2 linked regions of the Oryzias latipes genome follow. The protein of the gene in region 1 interacts with the protein of each later gene in a biochemical or structural test. Links are inferred from orthologs where the notes say so. Each region holds a gene or a part of one and is shown on either strand. Other genes may lie near its edges.

The links. The genes of interacting proteins can lie anywhere in the genome.
Region 2: the proteins of uba6 (region 1) and ube2t form a complex in vitro, tested with the Homo sapiens proteins (2 studies listed by BioGRID, with this or other methods). The link is inferred for Oryzias latipes from reciprocal best matches to the Homo sapiens genes UBA6 and UBE2T.

The regions. Positions count from the first base shown.
Region 1 is NC_019859.2:12,642,330-12,647,354, forward strand, and holds the start of uba6 (ubiquitin-like modifier-activating enzyme 6), read left to right. Parts: upstream 1-1,499; 5' UTR 1,500-1,583; intron 1,584-2,066; 5' UTR 2,067-2,115; coding exon 2,116-2,156; intron 2,157-2,274; coding exon 2,275-2,369; intron 2,370-2,476; coding exon 2,477-2,505; intron 2,506-2,607; coding exon 2,608-2,702; intron 2,703-3,253; coding exon 3,254-3,365; intron 3,366-3,753; coding exon 3,754-3,834; intron 3,835-3,926; coding exon 3,927-4,049; intron 4,050-4,214; coding exon 4,215-4,338; intron 4,339-4,456; coding exon 4,457-4,560; intron 4,561-4,654; coding exon 4,655-4,717; intron 4,718-4,959; coding exon 4,960-5,025. Other genes in the region: glyoxylate reductase/hydroxypyruvate reductase, read right to left, coding at 1-19, 361-533. UniProt on the Homo sapiens protein: Activates ubiquitin by first adenylating its C-terminal glycine residue with ATP, and thereafter linking this residue to the side chain of a cysteine residue in E1, yielding a ubiquitin-E1 thioester and free AMP.
Region 2 is NC_019865.2:13,521,169-13,526,123, forward strand, and holds the start of ube2t (ubiquitin-conjugating enzyme E2 T), read right to left. Parts: upstream 3,166-4,955; 5' UTR 2,706-3,165; intron 2,524-2,705; 5' UTR 2,523-2,523; coding exon 2,414-2,522; intron 2,083-2,413; coding exon 2,013-2,082; intron 1,939-2,012; coding exon 1,833-1,938; intron 1,676-1,832; coding exon 1,577-1,675; intron 1,310-1,576; coding exon 1,226-1,309; intron 1-1,225. UniProt on the Homo sapiens protein: Accepts ubiquitin from the E1 complex and catalyzes its covalent attachment to other proteins. Catalyzes monoubiquitination. Involved in mitomycin-C (MMC)-induced DNA repair.

The DNA of each region.
Region 1 (5,025 bases):
CCACAGCTCAAACTGCACCCTATAGGGCAAAACATGAAACCACAGATCTGAAGCAACCCCAATATGTCGTCATCAGCCGCAGAGGTCAGAAGTGCATAATGGGTTGAAATGAACAAACTCAAAAACACGGAGGCCTCATTGTTCTATGTACCATCAAAATTTCTATTTTAAATATTTGGAAATTTAAGATATAGATATATTAAAGAGGTTATGGAATTTGCAATCTTACAATTTCAAATGCAAACATTAAAAGTTTTCCTCTAAAAATGGGGATCTTTACAAAACAAATTTGTTGAAAGTGCTTCAATATCAGTGAGCAGCATGAAAGACATTTCAGAAAGACATATTTTTCTAACTTACTGTCCTGATTCTTTGAGGATCTTCAGTCCCTCAGGCGGGATCTGTCGGGTCACATACACCCGCTGGAGGGTGGACATTTCTCTCTGGACGTTACTTGGTACGCCTTCTTTGATGCTCAGGGGAGCAACAGCGATTTTCTGGAGCCGACGTAGTGCCATGCGACTGCCCCACATTGCCAAAGAAGAGCAAGCCTTTGGAAGATGAACGCAGTTCAGTCTGTTTCAGACTTAGTTTTGGCTGCAGCTCAGGGGGGTGGGGGGCTCCTGTGGGAGTTTGACCAATATGCTGAAAGGGAGGGTGCCTCTCAGACTAAGGTGCCCAGGGTTGAAAAATAGTTTTCTGACAAATGCAAGTCAGGGCTTTTTCTTGTTTAGGGTAAAATAGGAAAGAGGCCTTTTAGACTGAATTATATGCAAACAAGAATGCATTCAAAACTTGAAGTAACAGTTACTATTGTGTGTTCGTCATCGTTGTCTTGTAGAGCAACAGGAGTTGAACGGATGTAAATGTTTCACCAAACTGTTGACCTTTGCTTCTCTAAACAGTACAGCACCCAAACATGTTCTGTTCTATTTCTCCAGCTTCTCCAGTTCATCAAACCCTCATTCTTTACCCAAGTCAAATCAGGTCAAAGTGCAAATGATCATACAAAAAAGAAAGGGTTTTTGATAAAAATCAGTACATAAAAATTAAATAAAAAGGGACAAAATTGATATATCCTACAAAGCACATAAATACACAAATAAACAACACAAAAAAGATACAGTATACCATCAAAAAGATTGATAGACTGACTGAATAGAGCATGTGTGCATCAATATTGTCTTGGCAGCTCTGAATCTGAAAAAAGACAGGTTGTTTTTGCCTGTCATCCTCTATTTGACTGCAAAGATGAACAATCTCCTCCGGGTTGTTTAGATAATTTAGTACAGATGGTGGAAATAGCTGGAAAAACAATATGATCAAACACAATGTAATGGTACGTATTAATACCAATAGGGTTTTTTAAGATGATGCCGTTCTGCTAAAAAAAATATGCAGATTTAGTTTATTATTGTTATTATTAGTATTAGTTTATGTACTGTAATACTCATTTTAATCACCACGACATGATTGGATGACTGCTATCACGTGATTACTGTAACCCGGAACCACTTCAAATTTTCAACCACTCACAGCCATTCATTCGCCGAGGACCGTCGCGCATACTGTCAGCTATTAACGTAAGTCGTTTGGGTTTAGTTTTTAACTCTATAAATAATAAAACCTACATTGTCCTCGCTGAGTTGGAGATCTCTCTAAAAGATTGAACAACCCGGAAAGTTGCATATTATATTAACAAATGTGTGTCACCACTTTTTATGAGTTTACGGTGGCTGTCCTCGCTACCGGTAACTGGGCAGAAGTGAAATCCGTGGCTAGCTTGTGGCTAACGTTGCTTTTTCCTCTCGAGATTAGAAACGAGCATGCGCGATCATTATAAACAATTTGTAGTCGTTGTAACATTTGATCAGAACAAGTCCTATGTAACGAGTTCTAACCGTGAACTGTTACTGTTGACAACTTGCCTCCCATCAAATGTCAGCTAGCCGCCAAGCTATACTTTTAATAAATAGGGCGTTGGTCCACATTGCATCTATTTACACTAAAGTGTCTCACATCTTCGATATCAACTTTCTATTTGTTACGTGCACCTTCTTCTTAAGGTAGAGTCGCTATCTTTAAACCGGCTGAATCAGCCCTTTTCCTCCCAGCATGGCTGCAGACTTGATGGAGATTGACGACTCACTTTACAGGCAAGTGCAGTTTTTGGTGTTCTTTTTTTTCTTCTTCTGATGACCTGAAGCTCCACGTGCAGCTGTCTGTCTCCTTGGTGAGTGTAGCTAACATCTTTATTTATGTGCTTCCTAATAGCCGCCAGAGATATGTGCTTGGAGACGGTGCCATGCAGCAGATGGCCCAGTCCTCTGTCTTTCTTAGTGGAATGGGAGCACTGGGAGTGGAGATAGGTGAGCAAGAGAAGAGGACACACGTTTGCACCACAACTCTTTATCTTTGATAGATTCAAAAAAAAAAAAAAAAAAAAAAATCATACTCAATCATTTCCTTCTTACAGCCAAGAATATAACTCTGGCAGGTGTGAAGGTAAGAGGGCTTTTAAACTTTTCTTGTAATAAAATAGCAAACATGTCTTTTTTTTTTTAGTTAAGGGGTTTTATTATATATATATTTTTTATTTTTAAACAGACGGTTACTCTCCATGACACGAAACTGTGTGAGACTTGGGATCTGGGGTGTAACTTCTTCATCCGTAGAGATGACGTATTGAACCAGAGGAAGAGGTAATAATGCATTCTGCAAGTCCAAGCATTGGTTTCTAAAGATGATTAACTGCTATATGTGATTATGAATTGGTTTGTAAAGAACCACTTCAATTAAAAATCAGGTTTTTGGTGTTTTTAATTTGTTTTTGTGGCAATTTTTCTCATGATGGAGGGCATGTATAAAAAAATATTAGGCTTTATACTGCATTTCTGAATATTTTTGTTATTTATTAAAATGAACTACTACTGCCCTGTAGAAACTGTGTCCCAGAAAAAAAATAGCATGATCATAATTAAAAGACATCTGGGAACACGTTTTGAATAGATCAAAAGATGATCGGAGTAGGACTTTAGGTGCAGCAAAAACTCAGGTCTATGCATGGCTTTTGTCAACTCATTTGTTACTAAATAACATGCGTAGAAGCCTAGATGAGAGAACTTGAAAATTAGTTAATAGCCACTTGATCTTATCGTTACTTATGAAAAAGTTTTTTCTTTTTTTTTCTGTCCTTTTGTTGTGGATTTTGTCTTGTGTACCAATACTCAGCCTCTTGTTTTGCCTGTTACAGGGTGGAAGCAGTGTGCCCTCGTGTTGGGGAGTTGAACCCTTATGTTCATGTTGACATGTCCTCCTGTCCCCTGGATGACAACATTGACCTGAGTTTTCTCAAAAAGTATCAGGTAAGTCGACATATTTTATGTTATGTTATGTTCACACCGAGCGTGTGTGGCGCCTAAACCTGGGTTCTATAACACACATTTGGGTGTTCACACTGGACAAGCTGGCAGAGGCTTCTTCTGCTTTTTCTTTTGCTACTGTTTACTAGCACATGTCCACCACCTACATTTGGAAGACGTTATGCTGTTCTTGGACTAGTTTGTTGAATTTTTCCAGAAAAAACGTCAGATCAGCAAGAAATCTGCAAATGCTCTTGTGCTATTGGCAGCTTTATATTAAATTGTACTGTCAACTTTTATGAAAGAAAATTTTTGTCATAATTTAAGACAAGATTATTCCTGTATTCCTGAAGGTATTACTATATACTGACTGCTGTGCTTTCCCCTGCAGTGTGTGATTTTGACAGAGTCCAGCTTGAGCCTGCAGAAGAGAATAAATAAGTTCTGCCACTCCCAGCAGCCTCCCATAAGAGTGAGTTTACAGTCATTCCCCTGGTTTTACCAAGATCAATATTACTTATAACAAAAACGGTTTATTTAAAATAAAAAATATGTCTGTGTTAGTTTATCTCTAGTGACGCTTATGGAATCTGTGTCCGGGTCTTTTGTGATTTCGGAGAAGCGTTTGAGGTCTCGGATCCCACAGGGGAGGAGCTCAAGGAGATTTTCATCCAAAGTATCACTCAGGTAGTCATAATACTTTCACATTCTGTTCTTCAAATTAAGACTCCTCCCTGTTCCTCTGCTTATGCCTCTTGGAATTTACATAAAGTTATCTAATCAGTTATCCTGATATTTTTGTTTTGTTGCTGAACTTGTCCTTTTCTTCTTTTTTTTCCATATTTTTTTCAGGACAATTCTGGGGTGGTTACTTGCATAGACAACCAACCCCATGGTCTGCAGACGGGCCAGAGCGTTATCTTTAGAGAAATCAATGGCATGGTGGAGCTCAATGGCACCACACGGCAGGTTTCAGGTGGGTCTTTAATCCAGCACATCAATGCCACCACATGCAAATACAAAAGTAACCTAATCTAAGTAACATTTGTCCTGTTTCTGTTTCTCTGGGTGTGTGAATGTGTTTGCTGCATTAGTCATTTCCTCCCATAGCTTTGAAATAGGAGACACGTCGCACTTCCAGCCATATGAACACGGAGGCTTCTTTGTTATGGTTAAAACTCCTCAGATTTACAAATTTGTGAGTACAAAATAAATGTAAAAAATAATGCAGACATATTCAAATAACTACATTTGAGCACACGACTTTACATGTTTTACTTTTTTTTTTTTAGGAAACATTAGAACAGCAGCTGTGTGATCCTCAGGTCCTAATTCCAGATCTCAGTAAACCAGAGGTGAGTTTTTCAAAAACTCAGTTGTGGACAGGTTTGTTGTTTGGCCTTAATTCTGGTTTGCAGCCTTACGAGGTTGCCTCGCTACTCCACACAAATCACCATGGTAACACAAGCAGTGTACCAACTTTCACCTTGGAGTGGTTGGGTTTGATCAGGCCCCAAAATTCCTTGAGTTTGTCATGTGTGAGACATATTTTTGAGTTGTCTGGAAACCTCACTGTGGTTTGAAATCCTCCCATCAGGCTCCGTTACACATTCATGCAGCCATGCTGGCACTAGATGCCTTCCAGGAAAAGCACGGCAGACTT
Region 2 (4,955 bases), on another chromosome or scaffold:
GTCTATGAAGACTCTCATAGTAGTAGATTATCATAGATTGGAGATGACAGACAGTTCCAGGTTGAAGTGTACAGAAATCCTACTCACACAGATCAGTACCTGTTATGTGATTCAAACCACCCTTTACAGCACACAAACTAGGTGTTATCAGGACTTTACAACACAGAGCCCAGGAGGTGCCCACAAGCTCTGACGGAAAGAAGAAAGATGAGCAACATATCCATCAAGCCCTTCAAACCTGTGGATATCCCAACTTGGCATTCACCAGATCACAGTTCATCTCAAACCAATTAATACTCTCAGACAAAAACTGGTTCATCCAAACAAACAGAGTAATGTTGTGTACTCTATCCACTACAAAGAGAACTTCAATGAATAGGATATAGGAGAGACCAAACAACCTCTACACAAGCAGCTTTACCAACATCGCAGAGCCAACCCAAGTGGACCCGAGTCTGCAGTGCACCTCCACCTGAAGGCCATAAACCACTCGTTCGAGGACAGTGAAGTCCAAATTCTAACCAGAAAGAAAGGATCATTTGAGCGAGGAGTGAAAGAAGCCATCTTTGTCAAGAAGGATAAACCTTCTCTTAATAAGAATGGTGGTCTCAGGTTTATTCTTCCATCCATTCTCAGCAGTGTTCTGAAACCCAAACAAACCGAACCAGTTCCAACTGGGTCGTTAACAGCTGAAAAAGATGACCGATTTGGGGTGGGAGTCCCTGGCTCCCCAACCCCAGCTGAGGACAAAGGACTCTTAACGACCCGAAAACACGCAGGCTAAGTTGACAATACCATCCAGTTTCAGGTCTGACTCCTCCTCCATGAGCGCGTATATACCAGCTCTTTTGCCAGCTAATTCAGAATTGACAAAGCCTCTTGAATAAGAGGTGAAACGTCTTCCAACTTTAAAAAACTAAGTCCAGATGACAGCCCCTAAACCTAGTACTATGACTGGAATCAATGACAAAAGTGACATATCAAAAGATCAAAGCACAACTGCCAGGGGAGTAAACTGTGTGGTAAAGTGATCCACACTTTACAGTATTTGACTGAACTAGATACTAGACTGCATTTCTCTATAACCTAAAATGGTCAGATTCCAGTGGTTTTGTCAGAATTCAGCATTTTATCTACCACAAGCAGTAGATAAAAGATGACATTCAAAATCTCAAAAAATAAACATAATCATAACAGTGAATCGTCCACATATCTGTTGACTTACAGAGGTTTTCTGAACAGCATGTTCCTGTGTGACCTTCCTGGCCTTCTCCAGAAACATGTGTTTGTTGTATTTGAACTCTGATGACTAAAAAAAAAAAAGTATGTTACAATATATACTTCATTACATGCAGTTTATTCATTTAAATAACCATTTCTTCCACACTGGTTTGCCTCACACATGTTTCATCAGGTGTTAAAAACATAAAGAAAGATCCTTATTTATTGCAAAAGTTCCTCAAATATTCAGTAGTTAAACATGTTTTGAAAATGTTTCAGAGTAATCAAACTCATGACTGAATTGGTAAATGCAGAGAGCATATTTTGACAAAAACTTTTTTTTAATATTACGCACTATGTCAGCCATTAATGGGTCATCTGGATTGGGCTCAGCCATAAGCAGCTGAATGGAGGTGAGAACCGTAGAAATGTTCAAAGAAGGTCTCCAGGCGCCCTAAAGAAAAGGCCAATAAACAAACATTTTTAATTTTAATAAATCTTAAAGTTGCCAAAAACAGACTGAAGACATAACAAATCACAAATAATGATTACTGTGAATGTTTTAAACATTTCAGGGAAACAAAAGAAGCCTGTTTGGTGCAAAGTCCAACCTTTGGGGGAAGTTTGAGAGCATCATGACAGATGCGCCCCGAGTTATCTATGTTCGGGTGGTAAATTGGCGTCAAGAATCTTATATTTGGAGGCTCAAATGGATACCTGTAGGAGGTCAACATCAGGTAAGTTAGGATCAACACCTTACAGATGTTTTTGCAAAACAAAAAAGACAAAACCTTTCTGGAACTTTGATCTCCAAAGAGAAGAGTCCACCTTCATATGGAGTCCCTGATCCACCCACGATTTCTGCAGTGGAAAAAGAAAAATGCAGTGCCTGCTGTAAATCCACAGGTAATATTTTCAGACACACTGAGCCGATCACTCTTATCTAAACAGTACTAAATACATGTGATCACCAAAAATATTATTGTTGAAGTTAAAATGATGGGTCCTACTAACTACTAAGTACACATAAAACTGTCAAAGATTTTGTCACTCTTTTCCTATGATTCTCCTTGTTTGCATCTAGGAGAGACCTTAGCATTCAGATTAGAGACGTGCATTTATGCTTAAAATAACAAGGAGTACTTAGTCACACCAGTAGATTATAAATTGTCGATCAATCGATAAGACTTACGTGCACGGAGGTCATCAATCTGCTCGTCGTTTTGCCAGCATGTTATCCCAGGAGGAGGCTCGGTGCTCAGCATCTGAAGTTCGCGCTTTAAACGAGAAGCTCTCTGCATTCTTGACAGGGATTCAAAAGATGTTTTAAAAAATCAGCTAACTGTATAACGTTTCTTCAAAACAAAACAAATTATTCTATAGATTAAATATGTGCTTATAAACTGGCAGATGAAATACTACTTATTCGCGCGCTTTGAAATCAGAAAGAGAAACATGTTTATTGTACTTCAAACGGAACTCACTTGACACTTTGAACCACCTTTCAGACGTCGAATTTTCCTGCAGCAAGCGAGATGCCTCAGCTTTTGGTTTGGATTTCCCTCGCTTTGTAATCGAACGTCAAATGCCGTTCTGTTCTTCTTCTTCTCCTGCTCTACTTCAACGGGCACACGATCGCCACCTACAGTTCTTTCCCGGTATAAATTCAGCCCGCAACATTTATTTATGTATTTGTTTGTTTGAATTAGGACGGTGCATATTACACAATGTTTCAGCAGCTGCTTTGACATAAATATGCCAGAGTTAGCACAGAAGCTAAATTTCATCCGTTGTCCTAAGTCAGGATAAAAGGTTCAACAATTACATTTGCAACACCATAGCACAATATTAGTGGTAAAAATATTTCCAAAGGTTATTTACAATAAAAAGCGAGTCTATACGAAACCAAGAAAAACACCAAGAAAAAATTGACAAACATCAATAAACGAATAAAAAAAAGTTTTTTTTTCTTTACCCCCCCCCCTCCCTTCCTCCCAAAAAGTAGAATATAGCATATGAAAAACATCAGCTTCTGTTTCAGTTTTGTCACTTTTTAAAGATGAGAAAAAAGGAAAAGAGGCAGCTGTCTTCCTGTCTAAATGCGCTCTGATTTGAAATGTGAGAACATGTTTATTTTTGAATGTTTTTAATTACACACATCATTATGTATTTTGTAGTGTTTGAAAATATGAAAGAAAATACTCTGATAATCCCATTTCTTGAATGAAACATACAAACAAACATTCTCAGTTAAACAAATTGCTTCATTCATAGAAAATGGAGCAAGTTGTCACTCAGGTGCTGTGATATTGATGTCTACCATTTGATTAAACTTCCTCCTCGTTTTTGCAACATAAATTATTTCTTACCAAATGATTAGAGCAGATATTTTGAACATGTATATTTTTTAGATCCAACTAATTTTATCTTTAGTGTTGTTTTTATTTTAATGGTCATCATGAAAGAAATGTGACAACCAGCCCTGTCTCCTGTTTCTTTCTATTATTGACCATATATTTAATGCAACTGGTTAATACTGTAGTATGTCATGAATACTCAAAAAGTAGTACTGAATTTGCCATATTTAAGCAAGAAAAGACATTTCAATATCATAATCAACATCATTATCAATCCCAAAGAAGCAATTTATATTTACACTAAAAGAGCTTAGATCAAAATATGATACTTTTAAAATACATATTTTTATATATCTGGCATAACTCTACCAGCAAAAAACAAAGCTTCAATTTTTAAATTAACGCATTAATTACTTAACACTGTGCTGTGGAATGCCTGAGCAACAACCAAATAGCACAAAATGGTTTACTGTAAAGCTAATGTTCAGTTGCAGGCACATCATTGGCAATCTTTTGGTTGCACGTGTGAGACAAATACACACATGATCATTTGGACGCAATAGCAAAAATAGCTTGAAATGTTAAATCATGGTGTTGTTTGTCTTCCATTCTGACATCGGTGAAGCCACAGTCTCTCAGAACTGTCATGTAGCCCTCTGGGCGCCAATTCTCTCCTGGCATCACACCTTTGGCTCCCAAAACAGCCACATGTGCTAGCCTCAGTGTGCTCACCATCAGGCCTCCTAGGTGGGTTTAAACTCAGTTACTCAAAAAGTATTGAATTTACTTTGGATGACAGATGCATGCAGGAATAAAAACAAAATAAAGTGTCGGCTGTAAAATTACCAGGCTTCATAACGCGGTGGATTTCTAGAGCTGCCTTTTTCTGGTCTGGCCAAAAGTAGTAGCAGTTACAGTGAAAAACTTTATCCACACTGCTGACTGCGACAGGCATCGCAGCTACATCACAGAGGTGTAAGGTAACTTTCCCAGTGGCGAGAAAATCCTTCATCCGTTCCTTTGCCATCTGTGACAAAATAAACAAAAATTCCAAATAAAATTTTGTTTAAAACAGTAGCTACAGTGTGAGCTTTAAACTTGAACCCAGCCCAATGTATTTAATTCTTTATGTTTAAAAAAGGTATATTAAAGAAACGTAGTTAGAAACAAATATCATTTCTGCTTTGTGAATATTCATTCTTTACCTGATGCATGTACTCAGAGTAATCCACTCCGATAAGGTGACCCGTAGGACCGGTGAGCAGTTTAACTGCCGATTCCAGACCAAGTCCTGGACCATGACCCAGCTCGAGCACGGTGTCCCCCTGGCTGGATCCCACACAGCTGCACAGCATTCGCCTCAAGGACCTTATTGCG